3 linked regions of the Callithrix jacchus genome follow. The protein of the gene in region 2 purifies or fractionates together with the protein of the main gene of each other region. This does not show direct contact. Links are inferred from orthologs where the notes say so. Each region holds a gene or a part of one and is shown on either strand. Other genes may lie near its edges.

The links.
Region 1: the proteins of CAV1 (region 2) and VCP purify together in Homo sapiens (affinity purification with mass spectrometry; 5 studies listed by BioGRID and IntAct, with this or other methods). This does not show direct contact. The link is inferred for Callithrix jacchus from reciprocal best matches to the Homo sapiens genes CAV1 and VCP.
Region 3: the proteins of CAV1 (region 2) and KCNA5 purify together in Homo sapiens (affinity purification with western blotting, with the first as the bait; 3 studies listed by BioGRID). This does not show direct contact. The link is inferred for Callithrix jacchus from reciprocal best matches to the Homo sapiens genes CAV1 and KCNA5.

The regions. Positions count from the first base shown.
Region 1 is NC_133502.1:141,939,474-141,943,025, forward strand, and holds part of VCP (transitional endoplasmic reticulum ATPase), read right to left. Parts: coding exon 3,548-3,552; intron 2,914-3,547; coding exon 2,780-2,913; intron 2,702-2,779; coding exon 2,566-2,701; intron 2,254-2,565; coding exon 2,141-2,253; intron 1,744-2,140; coding exon 1,579-1,743; intron 1,490-1,578; coding exon 1,367-1,489; intron 1,117-1,366; coding exon 904-1,116; intron 418-903; coding exon 109-417; intron 1-108. UniProt on the Homo sapiens protein: Necessary for the fragmentation of Golgi stacks during mitosis and for their reassembly after mitosis. Involved in the formation of the transitional endoplasmic reticulum (tER).
Region 2 is NC_133512.1:87,138,913-87,141,592, forward strand, and holds the end of CAV1 (caveolin-1), read left to right. Parts: coding exon 1-198; 3' UTR 199-2,061; downstream 2,062-2,680. UniProt on the Homo sapiens protein: May act as a scaffolding protein within caveolar membranes. Forms a stable heterooligomeric complex with CAV2 that targets to lipid rafts and drives caveolae formation. Mediates the recruitment of CAVIN proteins (CAVIN1/2/3/4) to the caveolae.
Region 3 is NC_133510.1:18,649,390-18,653,142, reverse strand, and holds the start of KCNA5 (potassium voltage-gated channel subfamily A member 5), read right to left. Parts: upstream 2,185-3,753; 5' UTR 2,069-2,184; coding exon 260-2,068; 3' UTR 1-259. UniProt on the Homo sapiens protein: Voltage-gated potassium channel that mediates transmembrane potassium transport in excitable membranes. Forms tetrameric potassium-selective channels through which potassium ions pass in accordance with their electrochemical gradient.

The sequences.
Region 1 (3,552 bases), on a different chromosome or scaffold from region 2:
TTTAGACCAACCCTAACCCCAATGGAATCTTGTCCAGAAACCAAAGAGCACTCCATACCAGCCTGAGGACTCATACAAGTCCCCCATAGCCCATGATCTTGCACCTGCCTTGGCAACTGGGGACTTGCGCAGGTTAGCCTTGAGGATGGCAACACGGGACTTCTCATCAGGAAGTGGGATATAGATGAGCTGATCAAGACGGCCAGGTCTGAGGATGGCAGGATCAATGATGTCAGGCCGGTTGGTAGCGCCAATTATGAACACATTCTTTTTTGTGGACATGCCATCCATTTCTGTCAGGATCTGGTTGATGACTCGGTCAGCAGCCCCACCACCATCTCCAATGTTACCTCCACGAGCCTTGGCAATCGAATCCAGCTCATCAAAGAATAGCACACAGGGGGCAGCTTGGCGGGCCTGTGGGAGGAACAGACTGAGTCAAGCTCTAACAAAACTAAATCTCTCTGGCCAAATGCAGTGGCTCATACATGCATTCCCAGCACTTTGGGAGGCCAAGGTGGGAAGATCACTTGAGGCCAGGAATTAAAAAACAGCCTGGGCAACATACCAAGACTTTACCTCTAAAAAAAAAAAAAAAATAGCCAGATGTGGTGATGCATGCCTGTAGTCCCAGCTACTTAGGAGGCTGAAGTAGGAGAATTGCTTAAGCCCAGGAGTTCAAGGTTACAAGTGAACTATGATTGCACCACTACCCTCCAGCCTGGGCAACAGAGCCAGATATTGTCTCAAGAGAAAAAACAAAACAAAACTAAACACTGGATCTCTCAGACCTCAGAAAGATTACTGTCCAGTTGAGTAGCCAGCACTGTTTCAACTCTCTTAAAGAAAAACAGTTCTTGCCCCCAGGCAAATGAATACAGAGTCCACCCTATTATAGCTCACCTTGTCAAAGATTTCTCTGACATTGGCCTCAGACTCCCCAAACCACATGGTGAGAAGCTCAGGACCCTTGATGGAAATGAAGTTGGCCTGGCATTCATTAGCAATGGCTTTGGCCAACAAAGTTTTCCCACAGCCAGGAGGTCCATAGAACAGAACTCCCTTGGAGGGTGTCATGCCAAACTTGAGGAATTTGTCTGGGTGCTCCACAGGATACTAGGACAAAAAGGAAAGAGGGTTCAAGGCTACCACCATATTTTGAAAGAAACCTAACCAAACGGAAGCTTCATGGTGTACCCAATGGTATCAGATCCAGGTTCTCTAAAAGCAGACTCCTTAATGCCTCAAACCTAAGAACAGTAGGTTCCTAAGTTGTGCTCTTACAACTCTTGCAGCCAATGTGTTGATACCCTGAGACCACCCACATCACTAAGGCAGTGACTCACCCTGGACCAAGTTACCCTACCTGGACCAGCTCCTGAAGCTCACGTTTGACATCCTCTAGGCCGCCGATGTCTTCCCAGGTTACCTGTGGCACCTCTACCACAGTTTCCCGCAGTGCTGATGGGTTACTCTGGCTCAAAGCCCACTAGAAAAGAAGGGAAAACTGGATGAGACTTACCAGGGAAGGGTCAAAGCACATTAGGTGTGTACCTGAGGTAGGGGTGTGGTCCTTACCCGGAAGTCATCCATAGTAACTGCTAGAGAGTTCATGACCTCGGCATCAATGGTCTCATCCTCTAGGTCAATGAGATCCATCTTCTTGCGGATGGCTTGCAGAGCAGCCTCTGAGCACAGGGCTGCTAAGTCAGCACCCACATGCCCATGAGTCTCATTGGCTACCTGTAGAGAAAGACCTACTTACTATGCTGCCTCCAGCTCCCACAGGAGGCTAAGAAACAACAGAAATCCTTCCCCCGACTCCTATCCCTGGGTCCTCTCATTTCGTTGAATATGTACTAGCAATGTCTTTATTGGCTGGGTTTTAAGTACTCAATTCGGGACTTGAGGCCTAGAAATAAAGCTGCCCCAGAAATTCTGATTTACTCTAAATGCAGTGTTAACTGAGAAACAAGTCAACTCCAATTTCCTGGATTCAATCTCAGATCACTTCCTTTCCCCTGTCCAGAAATCAAAATCCATCTCCTCACATCTTAACCTTATGTTCCAAGCCAGTTCCCAGCAACTGCCTAGAAACAGAGATATTGTAATGCCCAGTCAGCCCTCATCATCACTTTACCTGTTCCAGGTCCACATCATCTGCCAGCTTCATGTTCTTGGTATGGATCTGAAGAATTTCCAAGCGTCCTGTAGCATCAGGAATTCCAATATCTACCTCCCGGTCAAAACGACCTGTGGGACAGTACATGAACACAGACAGGGCTCATTTCTAGTCCAGAGGGAAGAGACAGGCCTAGCAGGACCAACCATCTCAGTTAGCATAGGATTGTCCTGATGTTAGCAGTGAAAAAGTCTCAAACCCTGGGAAACCTTTCAGTTTCAGGAAAACCAAGTGGTTGGTCAGTCTAGACAGGATGCAGGATAAGGGAAAAAGACCCCTGGACCTAATCACTGCAAAGGGCTTCAAGAGGATTAAGTGACTTAGATGAAGGAGAGAGGTGAGATGTAAGCAAGGGCAGGGTTGGATATATCTGGAGTGCTTACCAAATCGCCGTAGAGCTGGGTCAATGCTGTTGGGTCTGTTGGTTGCTGCCATGACAATAACATGTGCTCTCTGCTTTAGGCCATCCATGAGGGTCAACAACTGTGATACAATACGCCGCTCCACCTCGCCATGTGTCTGCCAGAACAGGATGTCTGGTCATAAGTGAAGTTAGAGCCTTTCAACCCCCCACTATCCCTTCAGGTAAGCTCCTACTTTCTCTCTTTTGGGAGCGATGGCATCCAGCTCATCAATGAAAATGATGGCAGGAGCATTCTTCTCAGCCTCCTCAAAGGCTTTACGAAGGTTGCTCTCAGACTCACCAGCCAATTTGCTCATGATCTCAGGACCTGAAAGAATACAGAATGGAGGCAAAAACAAAATTATAGCCTTTCCTAATTACCCAAAAAACAGTTATCTTGCTTGTCTGGCTCAGAGACAGGTCCTGGTGAGAAGGTGGTGACCTTTGCCTACTTCTCAGATCCTCTACCAACCATTATCACAGGATAGCCACCAGTCCAGGCTAGAGAGAAGCCCAGGGACTCAGTATACTCTTCTCACAGTTGAACTAGAAGTATAAAGGTGACAGCAAATGCTCTGGGACCTATGGCTAGAGCAGGAGAGATGGCACACCAGCTAGATCTCTACCAGCTAACAGTATTCTCCAAGAGCCAGCAATCCAAGTTCATTTCCCCGAAAATCTCTCATATCAATAAGCATTCACCCATTAATTTCTCATTCTAGCTTGCTCCCACTCTTCGGTCTGTCCACAATCTTTCTCAAAGGGGACAGGACAGGGAGCACCAATGTAAAGTATCTTCCCTTTATTCTTCATCTGTCTGTAACATACCCCAGGAGAAGAAATATACTATAAAAGTGCAGGTGGGCATGAATGCAAAAGGGATCGGTCCATGAGCTCTCCAGCTCATGAGTCCCCATTCAAAATTGGGTCTAGCTAGACCTAAGATGAACCAAGTCTCTTACCATTG
Region 2 (2,680 bases):
ATCTGGGGTATTTACTTTGCCATTCTCTCTTTCCTGCACATCTGGGCAGTTGTCCCATGCATTAAGAGCTTCCTGATTGAGATTCAGTGCATCAGCCGTGTCTATTCCATCTACATCCACACCGTCTGTGACCCACTCTTCGAAGCTATTGGGAAAATATTCAGCAATGTCCGCATCAGCTTGCAGAAAGAAATATAAATGACATTTCAAGTATAGAAGTATACCTGATTTTTTTCCTTTTAATTTTCCTGGTGCCAATTTCAAGTTTAAAGTTTCTAATACAGCAACAATTTATGAATGAATTATCTTGGTTGAGAACAAAGAAATCACTTTCTCAGTTTTCATAAGTATTATGTCTCTTCTGATTTATTTCATCTATTTTTTGGCAGTCTGAATTTTAAAATTTTTTTCTTTACCTTTTTATTTGCGTGTGGATCAACCATCACTTTATTGGCTGAGATATGAACCTATTGTTGAAAGTTAATTTGAGAGAAATATGGAGAACTGAGGAGGGAAAAAAAAGAACCAACAACCTCAACTGCTACTCTAAAATGTTGGTCATTTTATGGTAAGGGAAGAATTCCAGGGTATGGCCAGTGAGTGTACAAGTATATGGGCAGATTTTCAGCAAACTCTCTTCCCACCATTACGGAGTTAGTGGATTGCTGCATTCATTTTCATGATCCAGTAGGATCCAGTGATCCTTGCAAGTTAGAAAACATAATATTCTACCTTCTCATGATCCAACTAATGCCTTACTCTTCTTGAAATTTTAACCTATATTTTCTGTGCCTGAATATTTGTTATATAGATAACAAGACCTAAGTGCCTTCCTGTTTTTCACATTTTTTTAAAATAGGGTCTAATGCATCAACATGCATTAGGTCAGCAGCTTCCCTGAAGACCAAAATTAGAATACCTATGACTTAGTCTTCCATGAGCATTTCTGACTCTGAGCTAGAGTCCAGTCAAGCTCGCATCTGGGCTTTATCATGTGGCATCTTTATCCATAGAGATGGTCGACAGTAGCCCGATGAAATGAATTAAAGTGGACCAATGGGGCTGAGTCCTCTGTGGGCTGGCAGGCGTGGAAGCCAGCTTTCGCTGCCTGTCATCAGCTGAATGAGGTCAGCATGTCTATTCAGCTTCCTTTATTTTCAAGAATAATCATGCTTTTCTGAATCCAAACTAATCCATCACTGGGGTGGTTTAGTGGCTCAACATTGTATTCCCTTTTCAGCTGATCAGTGGGCCTCTGGGGAGGGGCTGGAAAACGGAGGCCATTGTGTGAGCCTGTCGAGTTGCTGCAAACATGACCCCTGCTCAGTAAAGCACTTGCAACCGTCTGTTATGCTGTGACACATGGTCCCTCCCCCTGCCAGGAGCTTTGGATCTAATCCAAGCATCCCTTTGCCCAGAAAGAAGATGGGGGAGGAGGCAGTAATAAAAAGATTGAAGTAGTTTTGCTGGAATAAGTTCAAATTCTTCTGAACTCAAACTGAGGAATTTCACCTGTAAACCTGAGTCATAGTGAATGCTGCCTGGTATATCCAAAAGCTTTTTATTTCTCCTGCTCATATTGTGATTCTGCCCTTAGGGACTTTTCTGAAACCTTCAGTTATGCTTTTATTTTTTTTTTTGTACACTTATTGGAACTCCGCTTGATTTTTGCCTCTTCCAGTTTTCTTGACACTTTGATTACCAACCTGTTACCTACTTTGACTTTTTGCATTTAAAGCAGACACTGGCATGGACATAGTTTTACTTTTAAACTATGTATATAACTGAAAATGTGCTATACAGCATACTTTTTAAATGTAAAGATACTTTTATCTTTATATGAGGAAAATCACTTAGGAAATGGCTTTGTGATTCAATATGCAACCTGTGTATTCCAAGACATGTCTGTTCTACATAGATGCTTAGTCCCTCAGGCAAATCAATTGCTGGTCCAAAAGATTGCTGAAATTTTATATGCTTACTGATATATTTTACAATTTTTTATCATGCATGTCCTATAAAGGTTACAAGCCTGCACAATAAAAATGTTTAACAGTTAAACATTCAGCTTTATTATTTTCCCCCAAAACAGGTGTTTATATGTCAGTGTCTGTGTGTGTCTATGTGTTTGTATGTAGTGAGCATGTGTATATGTTTGTAGTGTGTTTGTGGGGGGTAATAGTCTCCCACTTTAAAATTATTACCAAGTCACTTAGGATATTTCTGCTAAGGTCATCAACATTCATAAGTTACTTCAGATAAAAGTTATAATTAATAACAAAGATTTGTTTTAGCAATTTCCCCAATGTTTTATTATATTTCATCTAATTTGAGCCCCCAGCAAGCTTGGATATTAATGCTTTCATTTGGTAAATGACACAATTTGCATTCAGGGGGCAATGGCTTCAACTTTGCTATGCCTTAACTGGGTTTTAAAAAGGTATATTGCAGTCCCAATTTATGTTTGTTGCTTTGCTAAGTTGACATTCAGGACTGTATTAGGGTTCTCCAGAGAAACTGAACCAATAAGAGATAGATGGAGATAGATAGACAGATAGATAGGATAGAGATAAAGAGAGAGATGAAGATAGAGATAGAGATGGCCATGGAAATAGAGAGATGGAGCTAGAGATAGATAGATAGATAGATAGATAGATAGATAGATAGATAGATAGATAGA
Region 3 (3,753 bases), on a different chromosome or scaffold from region 2:
CAGCACTCGCCATTTCAACAGCTCCTGCGTCATGGAACGTGGTACTTTTTAAAAATAGGCGACCCTTGGGTGTCATGGAAAGAAGAGGGAAAATGGGGGGATGGAGGGAGGGAGGAAGGGAGGAAGGAGAGAAGTGAAAGGAGAGGGTAGACTGAGGTTACAGTGTGGCTTCCAATACTCTGCGGTGTAATGTAGATACCCATGTTCAGCAAGCCTCCCATTCCCTACCCCACTGCCACCAGTCTGCCTGAATCTCCATTTACAAATCTGTTTCCCGGCTGGCATCCAGGCAGAGGGCATACAGGGACCTCCGCAAGTCCACGTTGCTCTTGGCCTTGACGTTACACTTCTCCAGGGGACAGCTGCCCCTTTGGGCGTTGTCTGCATTCTCCAGGGTCACCCCAGCCTTGCAGAAGGATCCCCTGCTCCCGCTGACCTTCCGCTGGACTCCTCTGTCCAGCCCCGGCCCCTGGCTCTGAATGCCCTGCTCTTCCTTAAGGACTGCCGGCTCCTCGTGGTCCGTCTCCCGGTGGTAGAAGTAGTTGAAGTTAGAGACGATGACGGGCACAGGTAGGGCGATGGTGAGGACCCCGGCGATGGCACACAGCGAGCCCACGATCTTGCCCCCCACAGTGATGGGCCTCATGTCCCCGTAGCCCACAGTGGTCATGGTGACCACTGCCCACCAGAAGGCATCAGGGATGCTGGAGAAGTGGGTCCCCTGGTTGTCAGCCTCCGCGAAGTAGACGGCACTGGAGAATAGGATGACCCCGATGAAGAGGAAGAAGATGAGCAGCCCCAGCTCCCTCATGGAGGCCTGCAAGGTCTTGCCCAAGATCTGCAGCCCCTTGGAGTGGCGGGAGAGCTTGAAGATGCGGAACACCCGGACCAGGCGGATGACTCTGAGGATGGCCAGGGACATGGCCTGCTGCCCATTCTGGCCGCCTCCTCCGCCCCCCGGCTGCTGCTCTGCCAGCTCGGTGCCCAGGGTGATGAAGTAGGGGAAGATGGCCACCACGTCGATGATGTTCATGATGTTCCGGGAGAACCCTGCCTTACTAGGGCAAGCGAAGAAGCGCACGAGCAGCTCGAAGGTGAACCAGATGACGCACGTGGTCTCCACGATGAAGAACGGGTCGGCCAGGGTCCTGGGCAGGAGTGGTGCCACTGTGGGGCCAGAGGGCTGACCCACAACCCCACTGCCGTTGGCCCCAGAGGCGGGCGCGGGAGGCTGGTGGGGCGCCGGTGGGTGGCGGAGCAGCTCGCGTTCATCCCTGAACTCGGGCAGGGTCTCCAAGCAGAAGGTGATGATGGAGATGAGGATGACCAAGACCGAGACGATGGCGATGGCCCGCGCGGACCCAGAGCTCTCCGGATACTCGAAGATAAGCCACACCTGGCGCTGGAACTCGTTGCGAGGCAGGGGCTTCTCCTCTTCTTTAATGAAGCCCTCATCCTCGCGGAAGCGCTCCATGGCCTCGTCCCCCAGCTGGTAGAAGCGGATCTCGTCCGCGAACACGTCCAGTGAGACGTTGACCGGCCTCCGCAGGCGGCCCCCCGACTGGTAGTAGTACAGGATGCCATCGAAGCTGGGCCGGTTGCGGTCGAAGAAGTACTCGTTCCTCAGGGGGTCGAAGTAGCGCAGGCGCTTGGCGGGGTCCCCCAGGAGGGTGTTGGGGAACTGCGCCAGGGTGCCCAGCTGCGTCTCGAAGCGCAGCCCGGAGATGTTGATGTGGACGCGCTGGTGGTGCAGAGCCGCAGCGCCCGGAGTCTGTTCCTCCTCCGCGCCCAGGCCGGGGTCGCCTTCTTCCTCTTCGTCCTCCGGAGGCGGCCGCCGAGGCTGTGGCGGCTCCTCGGGCAGCCGAGGCAACGGCCGCGCTCCCGGATCAGCGCCTCTCTGCGCGCCGCGTCCCCTTGGCGCCGGCTCCTTGGGCCCATCGCTGAGCCCAGCCGTCGGGGGACACTGGAGCTCTCCCCCTGTGGCCTGGCCGAAGCCTGCCCGGGCCTCATCGCCTCCTCTGACCGTCATGGCCCCGCCGTTCTCCAGGGGCACCAGGGCGATCTCCATGGCGCGGGGGCAGGGGGCATGCTGCGCCCCAGCTGACCGGCTCCCGCGCCCCCTACTCACGCTCCGCTGGCGCCTCGCTTCGGGCTCCGCTCTCGCGGTTGGCCGGCCCCCTCTCTGGGGCGAGCTGGGGTTGCTGGCGCGATCCCCTCGCTTGGTCCTGACGTCAAGAAGCCGCTGCCCTGCTCTCTGCCTCTCTCTCTCTTCTGGCAGCCGGTTACCAAGCAGCCGAAAAGCCTCCTTCCAGCAGATGCAACCTTCAGCCGCCCCTCTTTGGCTGCGCCGCGCTTGGCCTCCACCCTGGGCGCCTCCCCCGCCTCCTCCCCCGCCTCCCCCTCCTCCCGCTTCCCCTCCCCCCCGCCTCCCCCCCCCCCCCCCGCCCGCTTCCCCAGCCTGGTCTCGTGGCACCGAGTGTCTCCCGGGAGGGCGCAGCTGGGGCCCCTAGCAAGGGAAAGGAGGGGCCGAGAAGGGTGCAGCCCCGCGGAGGGAGGGAAGGAGTGGGGAGGATGGAGGAACAGGTTGTACCGAGAGCGCCGAAATTCCCAGGGCAACCAGATGAGAATAGCTCTGGATTTCAGTTTCACCTGGGAACCCGCTGGAAGCCGAGTGGACTCCAGAAGGAACGAAGTGCCTTGGGTTAAAAGGACAGGCTTTGAGCTGAGTCGGAGTACGAGAGACAGAGACGGGAGACAACAGTCCTTTTTACTCTGGAGAGATAACGGTGTTTCTTTGGGAAGAATTGCAGACGGGAGGGGGCGTGGAGTAGTTACGGACCTTGAAATACATATTATCAATGGAGAAGCACCTCTCTTCCCGTCTTCCTACAGATCCACAAAAAGGTATGACGGGGTTGGAACCTTGCAGCGTCCCCATACCCTGCCCTGTTTCTAGTATGGACCCAGTGGCAGCCCAGGCAGGCAGCCTAGTCAAGAGATGAGCTGTCTGGTCTCAAACCAGCAGAACCCTTCCACCCCCTGCAACGAATTCCATTTGCAAAAGCCACAACAGGGCAGGAGGGGAGAGATTTTTACAATTCTGGTGAGGGCCGATCCTGTCTGGTGAACCTTGGAGCTAGCAACTGCATCAAGGTCCATGAAGGGGGCTGAGGGTGGAGGTGGTGTATGAGAGGGAGCCAGGGAGATACTGCAATCTCCAAGGCTGGAGAATTCCCAAGAGTGGAATAATAACAACCAGTACTTACTTGGCTCTTATTATGCACCAGCCCGTTCTCAGCACTTTAAAATAATGTCTCTGGGTATTCCTACAGCAACCTATTTTGTAAATACTATCATCATCACCATTTTATAAACGAAGAAACTGAGGCACAAAGAAATTGACAGACTCACCCAGGCTCATGCGGGTAGAAAGTGATGACGCTGGAACTCAAATTCAGAGTTTGGCCCTCATCCCCTATACTTCATCCCTCTTCAGAAATGCATAATGCCCTTTTCTGATACAAGCCCTCCTCACTCTGACATCTGGCCTGAGAACTTTAGTTCCCTGCTGCAAGAGGCAGAGGGTGGCTGATATAACATACTCATCTTTCTAGGTTGGGACACTAAGGAACCTTCCCCTACCCTTGTCTTTACCTCTACAGGGGGTTTTAGCAGGCATTGGTAACCAAGAGAAATGTTTCAAGCTGTGTGTCTGTCGGTTTCTTGGATTTAAATGACCATAAAGTGGCTGTG